Linked DNA regions of Notamacropus eugenii. The protein of the gene in region 1 purifies or fractionates together with the protein of each later gene. This does not show direct contact. Links are inferred from orthologs where the notes say so. Each region holds a gene or a part of one and is shown on either strand. Other genes may lie near its edges. The genes, in order: PARD3 and PRKCI.

The links.
Region 2: the proteins of PARD3 (region 1) and PRKCI purify together in Homo sapiens (affinity purification with western blotting; 5 studies listed by BioGRID and IntAct, with this or other methods). This does not show direct contact. The link is inferred for Notamacropus eugenii from reciprocal best matches to the Homo sapiens genes PARD3 and PRKCI.

What each region holds. Positions count from the first base shown.
Region 1 is NC_092874.1:74,738,359-74,749,378, forward strand, and holds the start of PARD3 (partitioning defective 3 homolog), read right to left. Parts: upstream 4,960-11,020; 5' UTR 4,933-4,959; coding exon 4,717-4,932; intron 1-4,716. UniProt on the Homo sapiens protein: Adapter protein involved in asymmetrical cell division and cell polarization processes. Seems to play a central role in the formation of epithelial tight junctions. Targets the phosphatase PTEN to cell junctions.
Region 2 is NC_092877.1:353,919,665-353,930,275, reverse strand, and holds the start of PRKCI (protein kinase C iota type), read left to right. Parts: upstream 1-5,645; 5' UTR 5,646-5,678; coding exon 5,679-5,821; intron 5,822-10,611.

The DNA.
Region 1 (11,020 bases):
TTAATAAAATCATAAAATATTATGTTCAACAAATTATTAATATTGCACACAGCAATCATTGTTTACATTTCTAATTTAGAACATATATTCCCTCTAAAGGACTATTTCACTAAGGATGAGAGGATACTAGAGAAGTAGGATTAGGGGAACTAAAGAAAGTGGAGGGTTGAATTGGCTACAATAGGGAAGACAATTAAAATCCATTAAAGATGACTAAAAAGGCAGCTGAGCAACTGTGAGGGCTCAGCTGGTATTCATGTAGCTTTAATTTAGGGTGGAAAAATCAGCTTGATTTTTTGTGACTTTCTCCAATGTGGGAGCAAGAATAGAGAAAGTGGGTACTGGGAATTACTCAAGATTGGTGATTATCCATGACTGACTGACACAAAGTCAAAAGAATAAGCAACGCTAGCATGGTGGTGGGTACACATTTTAAGTGCAAGGCCATGGGCTAGAAACTGAGTAAAGAGGTAAACAAAACTAGAGCAAGTGCAACAGGAAGAAAAGGAAGAGATTGATGGAGCACATAATAATAGCTCCTCAGGCATTTGAAAACCAATTTCCTCATCTCCTTGAATCTTTCCCTAAAGTTAAATGTCTTCAGTTGCCTCGATTGCTCCTAAAATAATTTCTCTCCATTGTGGTTGCCTTCATATGGATAAAGTATACATTTGTTTTGGTTTTTATTGTTTTTTAAGATGTAGCATCTAAAAGGGAACATGCTACAAACATGACATGACCAGAAAAAATTACAGAGACACTATCACCTCCCTCATTCTGGACATAGAGTCTGGCACACAGTAAAAGCTTAATAAATGCTGGTTGACTTCTCTGGACACTAATCTTCAATTAACACAAGTAGCTTTAAATTAATTTATTTGGTTGCTACATCACACTGCTCAAGTCTTGTATAAAGACTGCTATTAAGATGCTCCACCTAACTTGAAACTTCACAATGGCTGTTTCGAAATTGAGTAGGACACTGCATTTATCCCCATTAAAATGTACCTTTCTATATTCCACCCTTCATGCAAGGATATCTAGAGATCCCAATTCTGCCACCTAATATAAGTTTACCACATCAGCTCTATCAGTCTGATAAACCTGACTTTTGTGCAAACATTTATCCACACCACTAACTCAATTCAATTCCACAAACATTTAAGTGCCTGTGTCATGGAAGAAATAGTTCTCTCTCAAAGATCTTAAAATCCAATAAAAATAAGGCCTGTTCACTAGACAAAATGTAGTGAGTACAATGGTGAGGTAAAGACTAAGTGAAATAAGAAGTAGAAGAGATAAATCATGTTCAGAAAGGTGATTATGAAAGCCTTCACGGAGTTTGAAACAGTGACACCTAATCTGGACTGTGGGGCAGCTAGTTGGTGCAATGGATAAAGCACCAGGTCTGGGGTCAGGAAGACTCATCTTCCTGAGTTCAAATCTGGTCTCAAATACTTAGTAGGTGGTGACCTTAGGCAACTCACTTAATGTTGTTTGCCTTGGATTCCTCAGATTCCATCTGTAAAATGAGTTGAAAAAGGAAATGTCAAACCATGCCAGTATCTCTGCCAAGACAACCCCAAATGTGGTCATGAAGAGTAAGACATAGCTGAAAAACAACTAAACCTTAAAGACTGGACCTTAAAGACAAGGATTGAGCTCAATGATAATTATTAGTAGCAATAATCATAATAATTTCATTAAGTATAAGGTTTTAAAATAGGCAAAATGCTTAACAACCCTGTGAATTTAGATTAAATAATACCAAATGCCTTTTGCTTTTAAATTTACAAGATACTTTATAGAAGTGGACTATTCACATGCCAAAAATGCTGTATGATAATTATTTGAGCTAATATTACCTGCATTTTACAGATAAGGAAACTTAAGCTCATAAAAGGTTGTGTGACTTGTCCATTGGTGTCAACATCCAAATCACTTTCTTCAAGACTAGGACACTTTCTACCATATCATAACAAACTCTTTCAAAATAGGGGAGATAGGGAAATAGTGGATTCCAGTACCAGGATACTACGGGAAGAGATCAGGCGCCATATTGCAGCTTAGTTAAGATGTAGAGTGTGAAGGGGAAGAGAATGAAATGACTGGATAGGTAGATTGGAGGTGAATTATTGGGGGCCTTGAATGTCAGTCCAAGTGGTTAGAATCTTACCCAGATATAAACCCTTATTTTTAACAAGGAAATTTCAAGGCTAGACCTTGTGTATTGGAAAGATGCACATGGAAGTGAAGGATGGACATTAGGAGACTAAGTATGAAACTGAAACTGCAACCCAGAGAAGAACTAAGATGGATTGGAACAATGATGATAGTAGTGGGAGGAAAAGATGCGACAGATGCAAGAGATATTATCTGATTTTTAAAAAGTTTAAAAACAACCTGTTTTACCGATAGGAGACAGGAAAAAGATGGGCAAGTATGCCATAAAATTTACACATGATATGATGTATACCCACAAAGCACTGCCACATAATCCATCCAAAACCAATTTTTTAAAAAAATGCATTTACTCTCTAGATGTAGAGACACCTTTGAGTATGAACTTCTCTATCCCACAAGAACATGAAATTAGTCTTGATCTCTACCAACCCACTTAGGATTATAGTAAAAAGAGCGGTCTCAGAAGCCGTCCAGTTCAACCGTCCTCACTTCCAAATGAAACTGTGCCCCAAAGAAATTAAGTAACTTGACCACAGTCATCAATGCCAAAGATGGGATTTGAATCAAGGTCTTCTAACTCCAGATCCAGAACTTTTTCCATTGTACTGCTCTGTCTCTCCTCCACAGTAGCAATGGCTAAAGAACCCATAGAAAAGGAATAATAGTCCATTGGAGTCCAAAATAAAAGCTGTAGTCAACTAGGAAAATAAAGGAAAATAGCAGATAAATGTCCACCTAATTTTTTTAATTAACTTGAGGAAGTACAAATAACATTTAATTTTCAATTATTCTAGGCAAAGGTCTTAAAAAGAAATATAAACTCAAGTGGAATATTTTGTATAGTATCCACTATGCAATTCTTCTGAGCTCTGCTCAGTTATGGGAATAAGGAGAGCACCCAGAATAAGTTGGTGCTGAGCACCTCTTATGGGACCCACTTGAAGTCTGTGGAGGAAAGGAAGGTGACAGCTGCTTGATCACATATAACTGAAGTTCCTCACAGGAAACTAAACTGAGAGGGCAGAAACAGAAAGCAGTACCCAGATTAGGAGGAGAGGTCAATACCAAAATCAAACAGAATTCAAGAGTAAGAAAGGAGAAAATGAATGAGAGATCAGGGCAGGAATGCCACACCTGGTCTATGTAGCTCTCGGATTTCAAACAATGGTACAGGACCACTCACAGCATGGCATGCCCACATCAGAAAGGGTGGTGTGCTGTATGAGCAAATCAGAATTGAGATAGCACAAAGTAAACATAGGATGCGCAAATTTGGAGTGTTCCAAATATTCACACGGACTGTCTGTGCCCAACCTGTGGTAGAGCATTTCAAGCTCATCATGTTGGTCTGACCAGCCACAGTCAGACACACTGAAACTTCACTTTATCATGGTGATGTCATTTTGGTCCTCTTCAGAAACAAAGAAGAACAACATCCAACAAACCAACCAACCAGAACTCAGTTCCACACAGATTTAGGTAAAGAGGTGACTGAGTGGGGCTGGCAGGTTTAGAGTCTAGGGGTTTATGCACTGCCCTAGGTGACTCTTTCAGCCTTACATGTTCCCCTAAATTAGTTGAGCTGTATACTTTTCATTGCTATCAGCAACGTTACCCTCTTTGGGAAAATGACCACATCTGTGTGGTAGAGGAAACCTACTATGTGTCAGCATTGTGCTGGGTCCTATAAAAATAGAAAAATTAACATAAGCCATGATCTCTTCCAATGAAGAGTTAAAAATCTCATCAGATACCAATTATTCTGTTACTAGGGTTTTGTGCCCAGGAACATCATGGTGAAAGTGTTATAAGGTGTGTTTTTTCAAACAATAAAAGTTTAATGTTTCATCTAACATTTATAAAAGAAATAACCCTAGTTAACCAATTCCCTAAGGTTATTCACAACCTAACCTAGGCACATAGTCAAAAGAAAATATACTTTTGCATATTTACTTTTTAACTAATATACAACAGAATCTGACTTAAGCATCTAGAGGAATTTTTTGGCATAGAAAGCAAACCCCTCAATGATACATGATAAACAGCTCTGTATGAAAGTTAAAAAATTCCAACAAGCATCTCATTCCCCAGCATTTCCTATTCAAAAAGGCCTTCTCTTTCTTAGATATGCTGATGACTCATCTCTCGCACGTGGATACTCCAAACTAAAAAACGTCAGAAACAATCCTAATGGGTTTTCATAGATGAGGACAAAGCAGGAGATAAGCCTTGCAGTCGTGAAGACCAGACTTCAAGTGCTCTCTCTGCCTTTTGCCAACCATTGTTACCATTAGCAAGTTAAAGACCCTAAACTATATGTTTATGCATTAGTGCAGGGAGTTACCTGTACCAATGAAATGGCAACGGTGGTGCGAAATTCTGTGTGTGTGTGTGTGTGTGTGTGTGTGTGTGTGTGTGAGAGAGAGAGAGAGAGACAGACAGACAGACAGACAGACAGACAGACAGACTAGTGAATAATGAGAACGTCAGAATCCAATTTGAAAAATAACAAAATGTTAGACTTCTGCCTACCTCAGAGGTCCTTTGGGAAATGGTGGGAAGGAAGCTATCCAGCTGCACATGATGGACCCTATATTCACATCCATAACATCCAGCAGTCCCAGATGGCTTGGTTAGTGTTCCACAACAACATAACATCATAAAGCTGAGATCTAGCCAAGAGTCAGAATGGTTTCCATTGATACGGACTGTAAAGTCAGAGTTACTTGAGAGGATGGAAGGGACCATCCCTGACTCCCCCTCAAAGCCTGCTGATGTCAGAGGCGGAGCTACCTTCTCCTTCCTAAGGTGTTCCTGTCATCATCAAGGGAGGATTCTGTGATTGTATCTTCAAAAGATTTGCCAAGAGCTAAGAGCAGCTCAGGTAAGAGCAGAATTCATTTAAACAGGACTATGGCAAAATAGCAGAATTCCACCAGCGGAAGAAAGGCCAAAACTATTGTACTCTGTGACGTACTTCTGAGACATACAAAGTGGAGGGTGGAGAGGAATGTGTGAAATGCCCTCCTCCTTTCCCCCATGTTCCAAGGCTCAGCTAAAATCTTCTATCAATCTCAAAGCCTTCCTTAATCACTTCAACCAACAGTGACTTCCCTGCTGAATTCCTTTAATATTTCTTGTCTGCACTACTTGTATTCATAATTTATAACCCTTTGTGGTTGTTAAGTTTTACTTTCATCACAGCCAATTAAATTGCAATATCCTTGACTGCATGGACTACATCCTACCCCCAAACACACACACTGGACATGGGATCCTGGAGGGAACAATAGGGAGAACAAGTCATTTGACCCAAAATACAGAAATAGTAAGAAGCAAGCACTACCAGGATATGAACCAAAAATGAGACCAAGTCCCTAACTCCGCAACCAGATCTCTTCCACTGACACTGATAAACATGTTGGTTGTATGACTTGGTTTCACCTAAAGCCAGCTAAATTGACATTTGGATTACAAATATCTGTCTTCTAATCTGTCTTAATACTATGTTTCTAAATGGCCCTAAAAGAATCTCATCAATTTTAAATGGTCTGACAATGGATAAAAGGACCACAGATCTAGAGCTTGAATGGACCTCCAAGGCTCTCTAGTCTAAACCCCTCATTTTACAGATGAGAAAACTGAGGCTCAGAAAAATTAAGTGACTCGACCAAGGTCACAGAAATAGTAAGCAACAGCCAGCATTTGAACCAAGGTCCTCTACCACCAAAACCACTTCTTTCTAGTCCTACAAAATGCCTGGTTATCTATGTCTTCATGGTTTTCCATGTCATCAGCTAAGTTATTTGTTGAGATATTTCAGTATCAGACCCCCTCAGAATAACTCATTGTTTTTGCTACACAACAATTTTGATTCCACCAAAATAATATCAATCCTGTTAATACAAAACCATGTTAACATTTTAATAGTTTTAAAAAGTTACCCCAATAAAAAACAGCATGTATGCTAAGTGAAACTGATGCCAAGAGAATTCAGTCAAAGCATCATTACACAATCTTTAATTAACATGTGGAACAGAATATATCAAGCAGCAATAAAATGTTAATGGGAAATTTAAAAGGGAGAGGAAGGAAAATAAGGCAAAACACACTGAGGAATAAATAGTTTCAAAGACAGGCAAAACCTGATAGGCTCTTTTAAAGGGTCAAACCTATTTCTGGGCCTGGAAAATGTGGGAATTTGCTTTGGAAATCATTTAACCTCATCTGTAAAATGGGGATAATAATAGCTCCGACCTCACAGGGTTGTTGTGAAGATCAAATGAGATAATAATTGTACAGTGTTTTGCACAGTGCCTGGCGCATAGAAGGTGATTTTTTTTTTAATCTTTTGATTGACTAAGTATATTTGCTTCAAGAGTTTTGCCAGGTTTTCCCCCCAGGAGACTGGAAGCAGAAGGGAGAGAAGTGCTTGTTAATTGAAAAATAAGTTTCAATTAAAAAATAAAATTAAAAGTAGGTAAGATTTTCAATGCTGTTTATAAAAAAATGTGCTATCATTACATTATCTAATTTTGCAATGACTGAAAATCTCCAAGAAGTTCACCCTATCTCTGAGGATTTGTACCTTCAGCAAAAGGAACAAACACTTTTCCTATCAGCGTATAATCAGAACAAACCACTGCCAGAGCAAAATAGAAAACCAAACCAGAAAGCCAGAGTAGTCCTGGACACCTGGGACGCTGGTTTTTCTCACATTTTCACAGTAGTATATTTCAAAGTGCTATTCAATACTGTATCCTGGTATCCTTTATGTCTACTGACATCACTCATTTTGCTTAAATATTCCTGAATATGAGGGCCACCCTCTACCTGGAAATTGGCAGAAGTACAGGCCACTCCTCAAACATTTTGAAGAACAATGTGCAGACAACAGAAAAGTGCTAAGTTATTCATTGAGGGGCAGTTTGGTGTAATGGAAAGAGAAGTACAATTTGAATATGATCATAAATTTACAAGTAATCTAGTCTAATACTTTCCTTTTCTAGCTGCAGAAAAAGAGAACCAAAGAGAACCCAAAGAACTAAATTCAAACCCTGAGTGCCATTTATTGCCTGTTTGATTTGTGACCTCTCTTGGTCTCAGTTTGCACATCCTATAAAGCACAGTCCCTGACCTCATGGAATTTTTCATCTAATTACTGAGAAAGAAATTTAACAGTAAAAAATAGTACACAATGAGCACTAAATAAATGATACTGAATATAGACACTGTAAGAGTTTAAGGACAGAGAGAAACTACTATAGGCTAAAGTCAGGGAAGAGTTAGTTGAAGAGATTTGGTGGATATAATCCCTTGAGGATTGATGGGATATGTATGGGGAAAAAAGGAACTTTAGAGGGGAATCTTGTGGCAAAGAAACTGATTCCCAAAGATAGTTGTTGTTTGGTGAATAGTAAGGAATAACATGATACTTGTATATGTTTTGATAATAACAATAATATCTGCCATTTCTCTAGCACTATAAGCTCTGCAAAGAGTTTGAAGACGTAGTTCAATTGTCTATAGAGAACCAGAGTTCCAGTCATGGAAACATGGTGGTTCCAAGTCCCTACTTCTGCTACATTCTGTCACTTAATCTTTCAGTGCTCACATACCTCTCCCACACTATTATCTTACAGAGGTCTGAATCTGCATTAGAAGAGTGAGGTCCGTCACTGAGTTTCCAACACCAATGGAATCACAGGTCTAGTCCCTCCACTTTCAAAAAATGAATTTTACATGCAGTGTCTCATTTGATTCTCAGAGCAATCCAGTGAGGAGAGGATTACAAATATTGTTTCTATCTTACAGGTAAGGAAGTCAGTGGTCAAAGAGATGAGATGATTTGCCCAGCGTCATACAGCCAGTAAATGTCAGAGCAGGATTCAAACCTGGATGTCTCTTGACTTCATGTTCAGAACTCTTTCCACTGGAGAATATGCTTTCTGCTAACTGAACCAGATTTGGGGATGGATTGAAGCTCTAACCCAGTGCCTTTGGCCATCCAAAGCACACATTAGGCTTACAGCAACAGTCTCTGGCTAGTCTATGGTAACTGGATCAGATTTCTTCTGGGAAAATTACCTTCTTTCTACAATGCTTTAACCAGCTGTCCTAAGCAGGCCAACAATATGCCACAGAAACATGGATCCAAATTTGTGATGTGGAAAAGTAAAGAAAATTTCAAACAACAATGTTAACTGAGAAGAAAATCTGCCATTAAAAACTTGAAAAAAAAACCCTCCAGAAGTACTTGAGGGTTTTATTTTCAAAGAAATAATCCAATAAAATAAGAAGTTCTATCTCTAAGAAACAAAAGAACCCTTCCCAAGGTCTGGTTGTTTGCCCCATATATCAATGTCTGGTCTCCAGAAGTTCTTCCTGTTTATGGAAGCCTTGATACATACAGTAAATTAACAAGACTAGACAAGGAAAACACAAAACTTGTCTGACAACTGAGGTCACAAATCTGCTCAGGTAAGTAAGACAGCAATCTATTTAAATCTGCCCCGTATTACACAGGAATCCTGTTTCCTACATGGCCCTCACATTATGCAGTTTCTTCCTGGTCATTCTTTCCTTTTCAGGCCCTACATACATTCTAAATTAGCAGATTCTGGGCAATCCTCAAGAACAGGTCCTTGTCCATCCCCATCACAGCTGGGTAATAATGCTAATGAATTTTAATTAGTACTGATATTATGAATAAATACATACACAAAGCATAAGTTCTGAGATCTTTCCTGACTGAGAATCCCTAATGTAAACCTATTAATTAAGCTGGATTGATGTAGTTTCTATGAGAATATTCTTGTGATGTAAGCACTTGAGTTTTATGCCCACATAGACCTGAACCATGAACTTCTAGGATTCTTGCAAAACATGTCCTGCTGGATCCAAGTACAACTTAAATGGCATCAAAACAAGTTGCGCTTAGGAAATCTGTTACACTAATTTTCAATAGATACACAATAGTATACAAATAGTGTACAATTTTCAGTAGTATAAATAATGAACATGAAATTAAAAAAATCCAATATGGATAACTGAGAATGTATTTTAAACACTACTAGGGGCTACATTATCATGTGTTCAAATTTTTTTTTCTCCAAAAGTTGTTTAAAAGACTTAAACTATGTTGCCATTTTTCACCACCAGAACCCTTTGAAATATTCACAAATTACCAATTAAACTCCAGTCTACTGAGCAATTGATACAGAGTAATTTGTCTTCATCCAAGAATGATGATTATAATTCAGAGAAACATCATAGTATCATGGCCTGAAATAAAACACTCATAGTGAGACTGGAGAATTGGGGAAGTCCTAGTAATTTTTCACTTAGTCAAGACCAGAAAGGAAACAAAATCATTACAAGAACGACAATTACTTAATTCTATATCTACAATAAAAATTCTGAGCATTCAGTCACACCCCACATAAAGAAGGAGGGGCAGAAAAAGTTCTGGTATCTGTGAAACTTGCACAACATCAGAAACCCAAACAAATATCATTGGCTTTCATCTTGTATACGGATGTTTCAATGAAGAACCTTTCAAACGCAGCATGTAATAAATGCATCCTAAGTCCTAGTGTATTGGGAGGTGAAAGTACTCAATAACTACACAACACAGGTGATGGGGCTAACTGGCCCTGTTTCTCTGGACTCATTTCAGGTGAATATATATTATATATATATGAGAGAGAGAGAGAGAGAGAGAGAGAGAGAGAGAGAGAGAGAGAGAGAGAGAGAGAGGAAGAGAGAGGGAGGAGGAGGGGGAAAGGGGAGGAGAGGGGGAGGGGGAAGAAGGGGGGAGGGGGAGGGAGGGAGAGAGAAAGAGAGAGAGAGAGAACCTAGTAGTAACATCCACATCTGGGAGTAGGCTAGGTGTAGCAGAAAGGATGAAGACTGTGTACAGGAGAAGTCTTAAGAAGCCAAATCTCATGATGTCAAGGCCCTAGGAAGAGTTCTTTATAAAAATGGCCTTAAATGTTCATCTACACACTCGGGGGGGGGGGGGGGGGGGGGGGGGGGAGGGGCGGGGAGGAGGGAGGGGAGAGGGGTTTACAGAGAGAAGTGAGAGAAAAGTGAGAGAAAAAAAATATTAGATGACAAGCCTCTGAAGAATCGGACATTGAGTCTTAAGAGAAAGTAGGTATGAGAAATCATGGCAGCTGTACTGGAGATTACAGGTAGTGAGATATGAACCACTCTGTAGTAACAGCATCCATGCTTTGTTTGAACAATTACATGCATATATCACACCATGTGAGGGAATTTTTCTCCCTTGTTCCAATTTTATTTCTTCCTTGTGGAGAATTCCCAGCTCAGAAATGTCTACCTCTGATGCAGATCAGCTCTCTCTTTACAGAGTTGCCTGGGACACTCCAAGGTGAAGGGACCTGCCCACGGCCATGCAGTCCTCATAGTTACACAATGAGCATGGTCACCAGGTCTTCCTGATTCCAACACCATGAGCTATTCCATGCTGCTCCACAAAGAACTATTAAAAAGTGGCAAACCCAAACACTACTGGTGGCATATTATATTAAAACGGGTTGTTTTATAAAATTTCTCTTGTTTGATCCTCTCCATAATCCTATGAGGGAGGACACAGAGAAAGGGCTAGAGAGCTTCCCTGAAGTCAGGAAGGACTAGCTTTAGGATCTACAAGTGATTAGCAAAGCACCCCAGTAATTAGATGGTTCCTGGCTAATGGTAGGTGTTTTTAAAAATGTTAATTGATTGACTCCCTCTGAAACAAATGGTCTGGGTGATTGGGAAAATCATTTCCTTTCTCAGTGCCTCAAAGAAACTTGGTAAAACCAAAAAC
Region 2 (10,611 bases), on another chromosome or scaffold:
GCCGAGGCGCCGGGGCCAGGGCGGAGGAGGCCGGCGGCGGTGGCGGCCTCGGTAGCGGCGGCTGGGCAGCGGCGGCGGCTCTCGGCCAGGCTCCCCGCGGCGCGGCCGCACCGGCGCGGGGCGGCAGGGAGATGCCCACGCAGCGGGACAGCAGCACCATGTCCCACCCGGGCCCGGGCGGCGGCGGGGGAGGGGGCGGCGGCGGCGGCGGCGGCGGGGACCACGCGCACCAGGTCCGGGTGAAAGCCTACTACAAAGGGTGAGTGAGCGCGGCCGAGCCGGCATCGCCACGGAGCCCCCGGGGGGAGGGGCTGCGGCGTCCTCGGGCCCCCCCCGTGGCGAGGGGGCGTCCTCGGGCCCCCCGGAGCCCGCAGTGCCAGGGGGCGTCCTCGGGCCCCCCGGAGCCCCCCGTGGCGAGGGGGCGTCCTCGGGCCCCCCGGATCCCGCGGTGCCAGGGGGCGTCCTCGGGCCCCCCGGATCCCGCAGTGCCAGGGGGCGTCCTCGGGCCCCCCCCGTGGCGAGGGGGCGTCCTCGGGCCCCCCGGAGCCCCCCGTGGCGAGGGGGCGTCCTCGGGCCCCCCGGATCCCGCAGTGCCAGGGGGCGTCCTCGGGCCCCCCCCCCGTGGCGAGGGGGCGTCCTCGGGCCCCCCGGAGCCCGCAGTGCCAGGGGGCGTCCCGCCTGACGGAGGCCCCCACATAAGGAGGCTGCTCGAGATGAAGCCCCCAGGGCCGGGCCGGCTTTGCCCTGGTCCCCCAGAAGTTTGGATCATTTGGATCCGTAAACTTGTTTTTTTCTCATTGAAATTATTTTATTACTTTTCACTTTTCCACCCTCACTTCCACAAGTTCCAAATGTTCTCCTTCCTCCCCAGACGGGCCGCGCACGGATAAGCATTTATTAACCACCTGCTGTGTGCCACCCCTGCCCTCCAGGAGCTTACCCCCTGCTGGGGGAGCCCACGTGCAGGGCGCTGTGTACAAACAAGCGGGGACCCATCCATGGGAAAGAACGATCGAGGACCCCTGGAATGGAGGGGGCGTCGGGGGGCTGGCCGGCGTGGGCGGGACTTCCAGGAGGGGCGTTATTAGAGGAAAGCCCCTGGCCTTATGCCCTGACCATCCCCTCCTCATCCAGAGCCTTTGTTTCATTACTGGTATGTGAGAAGGAGCGCTGTGACCTCTGGGCCTCAGTTTCCTCATCTGTAAAATGAAAGGGGTGCACTCTGCCTTGGTTCTCAGCTTTGGATTTAGGGTGCCCGATTCCCCAGCACCCGGTGTGGGGATCGTAAGTGTGGGCAGAGACCTGGAATGTTACCATGTGAGGTGCTGAGGGCTTCCTTTTTTTATCACTCTTGATCCCCTGTGCCTGGCAGTACAGGAGATGGGCTTGGGGGTGTCTGGAGGATCTTGGCCTTCTCTGCTCTCCACCTGGACCCTCAAGGAGCGCCTCATGGCTGGGTCTGCTGTAGGCTGTAAGGCCCTTGAAGGTCAGCTCGCTCTTCTGTCCTCAGCATCAGAGTGCCCGTTGGCTGGACTGGCCATGGCCTGCTTGTCAAGGTGGCTGGGGTGGGCTGGCTCAGGGGGTGCTGAGTCTCTCAAGGGGGCCTGGGTGGGGTTCCCCTACTGCATGGGCAGGAATAGGCCTTGCTTTGGGCTGGCATGTGGCAGGAGTTTCAAATGAAGACTTTGAGTCTGGCTTGCTTTCCCTTGGGTCTAGGCTGCAGGACCAATTTAGACTGTGGTAAGCTGAAGTGGGCATGCCTGAAGTCATACCCAACAAAAGGAAAAGCCACCAAGTTACGCACGTGGACTTTACCTGAGGACGGCCATAATAAGTTCATTACCTGTTTGGGGCTGCCAGGGATTTCTGAATGGTTGAGTGAATGATGCGATCTCCCCAGATTTAGGAGGGATTTGTTGAGAATGGTTATTTGGGGAGCCCCTCCCTGGTGTTGCTGGCTTTCCAAGAACTTGGTTTTAGGATGAGAGCCCTGCCAGGTGAGAAGAAAACCATCCCACACCTCCTGGCACTGAAGGTAATTCCGTGGGGCTTTTCTTATCTCATCACCTTAGCTAATGTTGGCCCATCTCCCCTAGGGGAAAAGAGTTCAGCCGTGATACTTGATTAAAGAATGTTGTAACTTTAGGAACTTTTCTTCTCCCCCAAATTGAAGACTTCCAGTTCAGTTGAACAGCTTTCACTTGGTCGTTGTTTTGTGAGGTGCCTGCCCTTGTGGCTGCTGTTCACTGCTGAGACCAGCTTGGGGGTTTTCCAAACAAACACCTTTACCAGTGTGCTTGTTGCTTATTTATCCAGGCAGAAGTCAGTGGCTTAAAAAAAAAAAAGGTTGACTGTACAGTGTGTACATTCCGGAATGGATCAGTGAGGATTGTGAATGGGGAACCTGTAAGAGGGAGGTCCTAGTTGCCTGCCACCTCCCTCCTCTGTATTCCAACAAAATCGAGTCCCCACAAATGATTCTTAATGAAATGTTTGGACTTTTTGTTTGTGTGGTTTTGTGAATTCTTACCTTTGGAGTTGTAGCTTCATCTTAGGACTCGTAGTAGCTTAAGATCACATTGAACAGTTCACATGTACACAGACAGAGAAAGCATTACATGCCTTGGCTAAATGTGTGGGTGTTATTTAATGGGCTCTTATTCTTAGGGGAGTTCATGGGATTTTGAGATTTTGCAGCCAGCCATGACTCCCACAGAGCACTGTGGGAAAAACATTTTGTGTGTACGTTTGTCTGAAATGAGACATTGATTTTAAATGTTTTTATTTAATAACCAGATTTACTAAATTCTAGTTTATTTTGAAAGAAACAGAGGTGACTGTGCTTAACAACCTAGGTTGGAATTAAGATCCCTTGTTTCTCTCACCATCAAGGTCAGGAAGGGAGACGCTCATCTGTTCAGGAATGTCTTTGTAAATTCCAAAGCGTGATGACCAATAGGAAGTGTTACTGTTGGCCTGTGGTTTCAGTTTTTTAGGTAAGCTTTCCCCTCCACTTTAAAAAGGGTGACTTTTGCTAAGGTGAGCCAGGAATCTTTCTGACCACAATCACTTTGATCCTTCTTCAGCTGTGATAGAGAGCCATGGTTGAAGCGTCACTCCTGTACTTAAACATTCTCTCAATTGGTCATTTCTCTGCTTCCTGTCCTGAAATCAGACTTAATGAGGACTCTATCTTTATTAGCAATATACCCAGCCAGAGGTTGTACTGTTGAAACGACAATGAGTCACTGAAGGAGCAGGTTACTAAACAGGTTGTCTAACTAGGACACCTTTGACTTGATTTTCATATTTTAAAGAATTCTCTTTACCAGAAGACATTTCCCCCAAGCATGACTGATATCCTCATTCTGAGAGATCAGTGGGTCAGTTGCACCCCAAGGCCCCCCTCTACCCCTCAAGCTGTGTTTCTTTGTAGCAGCTGGGATCATTTTGTAAAAAAAAAAAAAAATGACTCACCACTCTTTTTCCCCAGGAAGAGGACCTTCAAGTTCCTTTAAACTTGATCTTTATGAAAATGTGCCTTCTCCAGATAAAGAAACTTAAACCACACACTTAATTTGATTACTTGTTCTAGTATTTAAATAGGAGATTGGCTTTTTCCTTGTCTTTTTTTTACACACACGGGAGCTTTTCCTTGGATTTCCTTAGTCATTACTTTGTTCGTTTACAGAAGTAGAATAAAAAGTTCTGTTGGTTAGTGAGAGATTAACATCATATAAGCTTTTTTATGGTGAGCTTTGCTTTAGTGGGGCAGGACTTACCAGTAAAATAGTGAGGGAACCAGGTAGATTGCATCACAAAATATACAGGGGGTTTTACAAACATGTTTTCCAAAATTACATTTCTCAGAGTACTCTATACTGAGCAGTCATAATTTTAAAGATTTTCCTGCCTATACCAGCATTGTACAATTAGGAAAACATTGTTGAATAGCTGTGTTTGAAATTGGCCTTGCAAGGAAATATGTAGAATTTTTCTCATATTTGCAAGTCTTGACAAGACTGTTTTTTGTTGGTACATTTGTTTTCTGACTACTTTAGTAACGGCATTAATGGGCAGAGGTCATGTGTCTGATTGGGCTCTCACTGGCCCATTTGGGCCATCTTCTTTTCTCTGTCACCCCTCTGGGAGATCTTCTCACTTACTGAGGTTTTAGGGGGTTATCTCTAGAGTTGACTGTAAGCACTGGGAGTCCAAGGGCATCTAGCCTTCCCTCTCTTCCTTTATTACTCTGCTTCAAGGTCTATTCCGTGAGCATCTCAGCCATCTGTATGCAGGTTAACAGCCTCCTCCACCCCCCCCAGTCTCCTTGACTTGGCTGAACTCTCTCTGCCTTGGGTGAGCTGCTCCGACAGCGGTGCCTGGCTTGTCCATGACATTGCTTCCCATTTCTTGAAATTACACTATATTGCTTTTTATATATTTTTGGACCGCATGACCTAGGGCCAGAAGCTAAACCCTCCAGCAACCCAAGTGATGGACTCAAGAAAGAAGGTGCCACAAGTCTGGTTAAAAAAAAAAGTGTCCATGCTCCCCTCCCTTTTCCCTCCTGGTAGAATGTCCACTCCTTGAGGCCAAGGATTTGATTTTGTATCTCCAGGACCTGCCACAGTGCCTTGTCCATAGGTTCTTAATGTTTGTGATGTTAAAAGAACACATCCAGCACTTAGCACAGTTCCTGGCACATGAGCAGGGGCTTAACAACTATTTATGGATTGATGGCTGTGTCTCCAATACAGAAAGGCCCAGGTAGCCATTGCAGAGTGAGTAAGAAAGGCCCTTGCCAAAGCCTGTTCATTTTTTAGCATCACAATTTTCTGTTGTATCTCATCCTCAGCGAGACCCTCCTGAGGACTTAACCCCCAGGATTCTTATCTAATCTTTGTATCTTTTCCAGAAACTAACTCAGGGCTGCGACAAAAGAGAAATGCTTAATAGATGTTTATTGAATTGGATTTACAAACCCTTTTCCAAGCCGGTAATTACGAGAAGGGAGGGAGAGTCCTCTACAGACAAGCCCAGTGACAGCCGAGGAGTAGATGGGAAAAAACAAACAACGCACAGGGCAGAGACGTGGGACTAACGGTAGAGTGGCCTATAAGGCTTAGAAACAAAAGCTAGAATGTCATTAAATGGACTCCTTCCCACCAAACGGCTTTTCAAAAAAGTGACCTGTGGCCTTCAGAATCCCAGGGTGTTGCTGAAGGAAGATCCAGTATGAACATGAAGATATCATGAAAGCATCCCCCTGCCCCCCCATCAGAGATGTGTATTGGGTAACTCTCCCATGCTTCTGCTGGTTTGTCCAGTGGCATCTCTGCTTTTTGCTGCCTCTTCCCGTGGCCATTCCAGTGTCCTACTCTATGTCCTCGCCTCCCAGGGCCTCTCATCCCTCACTGTGCCTCCTGCTGTGGAGGAGCCTCGCTGAGCCTGCTGGTGATCCCCAGAGGTCTGTGGGGATCCTGTAATCACAGACCCCCTGAGGCCAGCCTGCTGCCCTCAGAGCATGCTTCATTCTCTACGAGGCAGCCTTAGAGATGGGGAGTGTTGACACCTCCCTGCCAGACCAAGGTTCGTTCAAGACTAGAGGAACAAAGTAAGACCTGACTTCCTCTTACTGCTGACAGGGCTGGTTCTCAGCAGAGCCACACCAATCAATGAACGTGGATTCAGCACTTAACGGGCCCTGGGCTCCTCCATGTCCCTGCCCTTCAAGGACTTATACCTTGTCATCTGACATGTACAGAATCAGTAAGTGCATCCCAGGGTGCCTCCTGCCTGGATGGGTGGTGACCGTCAGGTAGGTATTCCAGCAGAACTCCTAACCAGCTGTCTGCCTCCCACCCTGCATGGTGGTACCACTTGCCTTTGGGATGATGATGTAGGATTTTGAGCTGGAAGGAGCCTGAAGAGGTAACTTGAGTGCAGGTCCATTTCACAGGTGAGAAAACTGAGCCACTCCTGGCATCTGTCAAGTCCCAACTCAGTTCTGCTGTTCTAGTAGAAGCCTTTCCCAATCCCCTTAATTCCAGCTCATCTGTCTGATGATTTCTAGTTTATCTTGTATATATTTTTTGTTTCCCCCGTTAGACTGGGAGCTCCTAGGGCAGGGGCTGTCTTTTGCCTTTCTTGCTACCCCCAGTGCTTAGCTCTGACACACAGTAGGTGTTTAATAAATGCTTCTTGACTGAAATGACTGGCCTTGGGAAGCAGCAGAGAGGGGATTCCCACCCAAGGCCTCAGCCTCCAATTGCCCCTGTGCCATGGTGCTTTGTGAATGTTGAGGCAATCCAGCAAGACTGACTCTGGAAAGCATGGGGAATAGGCCTGGACCTGTGATTTCATCAGTGTCTGGAACTCTCAGAGAACATTCCCTCCCCAGTCCGGACGGGCCTCTTCATGTCTTAGAATTGTCTGGCACACAGAGCCTGTGAGTGGAAGGTGTGGACTAGACCCTGGCTCTGGCCAGCTCGCGCTCTCTCTCTCTCTCTCTCTCTCTCTCTCTCTCTCTCTCTCTCTCTCTCTCTCTCTCTCTCTCTCTCTCTCTCTCTATCTCTCTGCCTTGGCTTGCTGCCTTCTTGACCTGTAGTTGCTTAAACCAGACAAGGGGCCCTTTAACTTGCACTTTTCCTCAACTGGCACGATGTTTGTATTGGACACATTTATCTTGGGTGTGGGAGCTTTCTTTGAAGACAGGAAGTTCAAGACCAAGTACAGATTTTGAAGTTGTTTTTTTTTTTAAAGTTGAGAGGAGTTTAAGACAATGAAGAGCTGGCCTGGGTTTCAGTCCTGCCTCAAATACAGAAGGGCAGGTTTATCCTGGGCGAGTGCTGACAATTCTCCGAGCTCAAAAGTTTTGAGAAGGTGCCAGTCTTCATTGGTGGAGGGACTTTGCTCACCTGGAATTCTCTTCCCTCCTGTAATTGGTGGCACAGGAGTAGAGGAGTCATGGGTCATGGGTCATGGAAGCTTGCCCTTGAGGATACTCAGATGGAACCTTGAAGGAAGTTGGTGGATGGGGGAGGGTGTTTTTCTTTTCTTTCTACTATTGACATTAAGATTTATTTTTTTTCAACGTAATAGTACTTTATTTTTTCCAATGTCAAGAGAGTTCTCAGCGTTCACTTTTATAAGATTTTGAAATTTTTTTCTCTCTCCCCTTTCCCCAAGATGGCAAGCAATCTGATTGTAGGCTATACGTTTCAGATCACAGTAAGTTTATTTTGACATTAGTCATGTTGTGAAAGAAGAATCAGGACAAAAGGGAAAAACCACAAGAAAGAAAAAAGAGAAAATAGAATGCTTCTCTCAGCATTCGGATTCCATAGTTCTTCTTCTGCATGTGGATGGCATTTTCTATCATGAGTCTTTTGGAATTGTCTTAGATCTTTGCATTGCTAAGCAGAGCTAAGTCTATCAAAGACAGTTATTTCACAGTGTGGCTGTTAGGTATACAATGCTCTCCTGGTTCTGCTCACTTCACTCAGCGTCTGTTTGTGTCAGTCTTTCCAGGTTTTTCTGAGATCTGCCTGCTCATCATTTCTTACAGCATAGTAGTATTCCATTACACTCTAGTACCACAGGTTGTTCAGCCATTCCCCAGTTGATAGGCATCCCAAGAGGGTATGATTTTCACACATGAGGCCCCCCCCCCCCCCTTCCCCAATAAGGTGGGAAATGGGAGATTGAATGTCCTGGGGAACAACAAAGAAGCTAGTTTGACCAGAAGTAACTCTCAAGCCCATCAGCCCCTGGAGCTGGTGGTTGGGCTTGTGTCTAAGGACTGTCCATTTCTCCTCTGTGTGGAGGAGAATCTGGAGGCAGGTAGACCACCTGGGGGACTACAGGCCCATTGTCCTGATGAACATTTGTAAAACATCTTACAGTCATCATCCCATTTGGAAAATGAGGGGACTTGAAGCTGAGGTATGACTGTTAGTGAAGAAGGTCTTATGAAAGGAGGCCTGACACTTGACTTGCCAGCTGATGGGTTAGTGGGGGTGAGGGAGAGGGAAGCAGTGAGTTTGAACTTAGGGGACTGATGCCCTCAACTGAAGACAATGATGGTTTTTTGGGGGACAGATAAGGAGTTCTATTAGGTTGTGGTGAGTTTGAGAATGCTTGCCATTGGGCAAGTCCCATAACAGTTAATTAGTGATGCTCTGGAGCTCGAGAGAGATCAGATGTGGGTGGCTCCCAACCATGGGAGCTGAAGAGGTCGATCAAGTCAACCAACAAGCATTGATTAAATGCTTACTGTGTGCTGGATCTCTAAGAGAGAAAGGAGAAGAGGCCCTGGGGTTTACTCACCCACAAGGGTCTTTAAGGCCTGGACTTCAAATAGCCCTAATGCTCAGGCAGCCCTTACACATCTCAGGGGTTAGGGGCATAGGCCCCCCCTCCCCCATCTGGAAAATCCACCTAAAAGCTTTTGGTCCTCCTTTTGTGCCAGAAAAGAAGTATTTTGGCTTTGCGGATTTCCTTCTCTTTTGTCTTGATATCATACAAAACTATACATATATTTTATGTGCTTCTTAGTTTCTAAATTTTTCTGTCTTGTCTGCTGGCTTTTGGTACGTCATCTGGGGCTTCTGCAAAACTCCCCCAAATATCCCATTTGATTTCTTATGCTGACCCTCGATCATATGTGGAAGGGATAACTAATTATTGCTTTGATACCAGGATGGGGAAAGACCACAGCCTACCCTCTCCTCTTCCCTCCTTACTCTGGCATCTTTTTTGCATAGCTTTTGGGATGGATTGTTGAGCTGGTAAATAATCCTCCTTTAGAAGTTGGAGCACGTCTCAGTTTATTGTTTTCAGGGAGTTCTTTTTCAGAGAGGTAGCTGAAGAATGAATGAGTACTTTTAAGGTCAAGAACATGGAATGTAAGCATGTGTCTCTTGAAGTATTTTGAGGTTTAATGGGAAAGCCTAAAATTGTATTGAACTGTGTAATTTTAGGGAGCTATGTGGCTAAGCACATTGGGATCTGTTGAAGATCAGTGGTAGGCAAAAACATGCTATTGCTGAAGATGGAATCACAAATAGACATTGGGGGTTCTTAACATAGGTAGTGTCTGTGACATTTTTTTATTTGTTAACATTTTAAAAATTCTGGTAACTGTACTTCATTGTTTTTGTTCTTCTCTGTTAATCCGATGCCTTTTATTTTCTGCAGTTAAAAGTATCTGCTTCTTGAAAGGGTCCCCGGAGTCCTGAAAGGGTCTGAGCCTCAAAGGAAGTGAAAACCACTATTGGGGGCACGTTGGCTGAGGTGACTCACCAGCTGTGTGCTCTCTGCCTTTTTGTTCTCATTAAACCCTGAATACTCTAACCAGGATCTAGTGATAGAGAAATGTGTAAACAAAGCCTTTTCCAGTTACTCTGGGAAAATGTTTATAGAAAATGGCCTTGCATGTTTTAGATCCTGAGACTTAAGGAGCTCCCGTTAGAGGGACAGAACACACGATTAATGCTGACAGGGTGAGGAGGCCTTCTTAACCTCTTGGTTCCCAGCAAATGCATTCCAGCATTTAGATGGTTTTGTGACCCAAGTTTCAATGAGAACCAAAGCATCTATATATACATATCATTACCTAAGAATAATTTTAATAGCTCCCTCCTTTATACTTCAGAAAAAGAAATGATTGGTTCATGCACAGTAATGCTTTCTGTTTTCTTTCCTTGTAAATGAAAAACTTTAACAAAGAAAAGATTTCTTTCTTTGCCACATGCTGCTCTGTGTTGGGCCTTGTCTACAGCTAAACTTAAGCATATCGCTTTTTTGTTTAAATAGGCACACAGTATCATTCCCCTTTTAATGCCTAATTTGAGGACAGGAATTTCTTTTTCTTTCTCCCTTTTTTTAAAAAAGAGTCAATTCCTTTTCTCTTATCTTTATGTGAAGGGTAATGGGCAATAGTTTTTCCCTTAAGTGGAAAGAAAATTGAGGAACTTCAGAGCCTTTTAAAGGGGTGGATCACTTTGAGTTTTAGGGCTGCAGTAGTATTTGGTTTTTGAAAGGGTTCCAGTTGCAGTGTTTTCATGGGAGGGGAACACTTGTCTCTTGTTCAGTATGTTGCTTTATCAATCTAAGTATCTACCATGTTCCTGGTAGTTGTAGATAATGGAGACAATATCACGAGTCAGTAAGGGATAACATTCTTCTATCTTTTTATTTATTTATTTAGGTTAATTTTCAAAATTTTTTGAGTTACAGAATGTTTCTTCCACCCTTTGAGAAGGCAAGCAGGTCAAAATGGTTACATGACCCCTTAGATGTAAAGAGAGAGATTACAAGAAAATTTGAAGAACATGGGACATATTACTTATCAGACTTACAGATAGGTGAACATTTTATGAATAAGCAAGAGAGAGAACAGAGTGAGATCTTAAATAGATAATTTCAATTACTTTAAGGTTTTTTTAAAAAATAAAACAAATGTAGCCAAGATCATAAGGAAAGCAGAAAATTGGGGAAAAAATTTATAGACAGTTTCTCAGATAAAGGTCTCATAGCTCATATATATAAAACTTTATAAAAATCTCTAAGAATGTGCAGATAGCTTAAGTAAATTAGGGGAGCAAG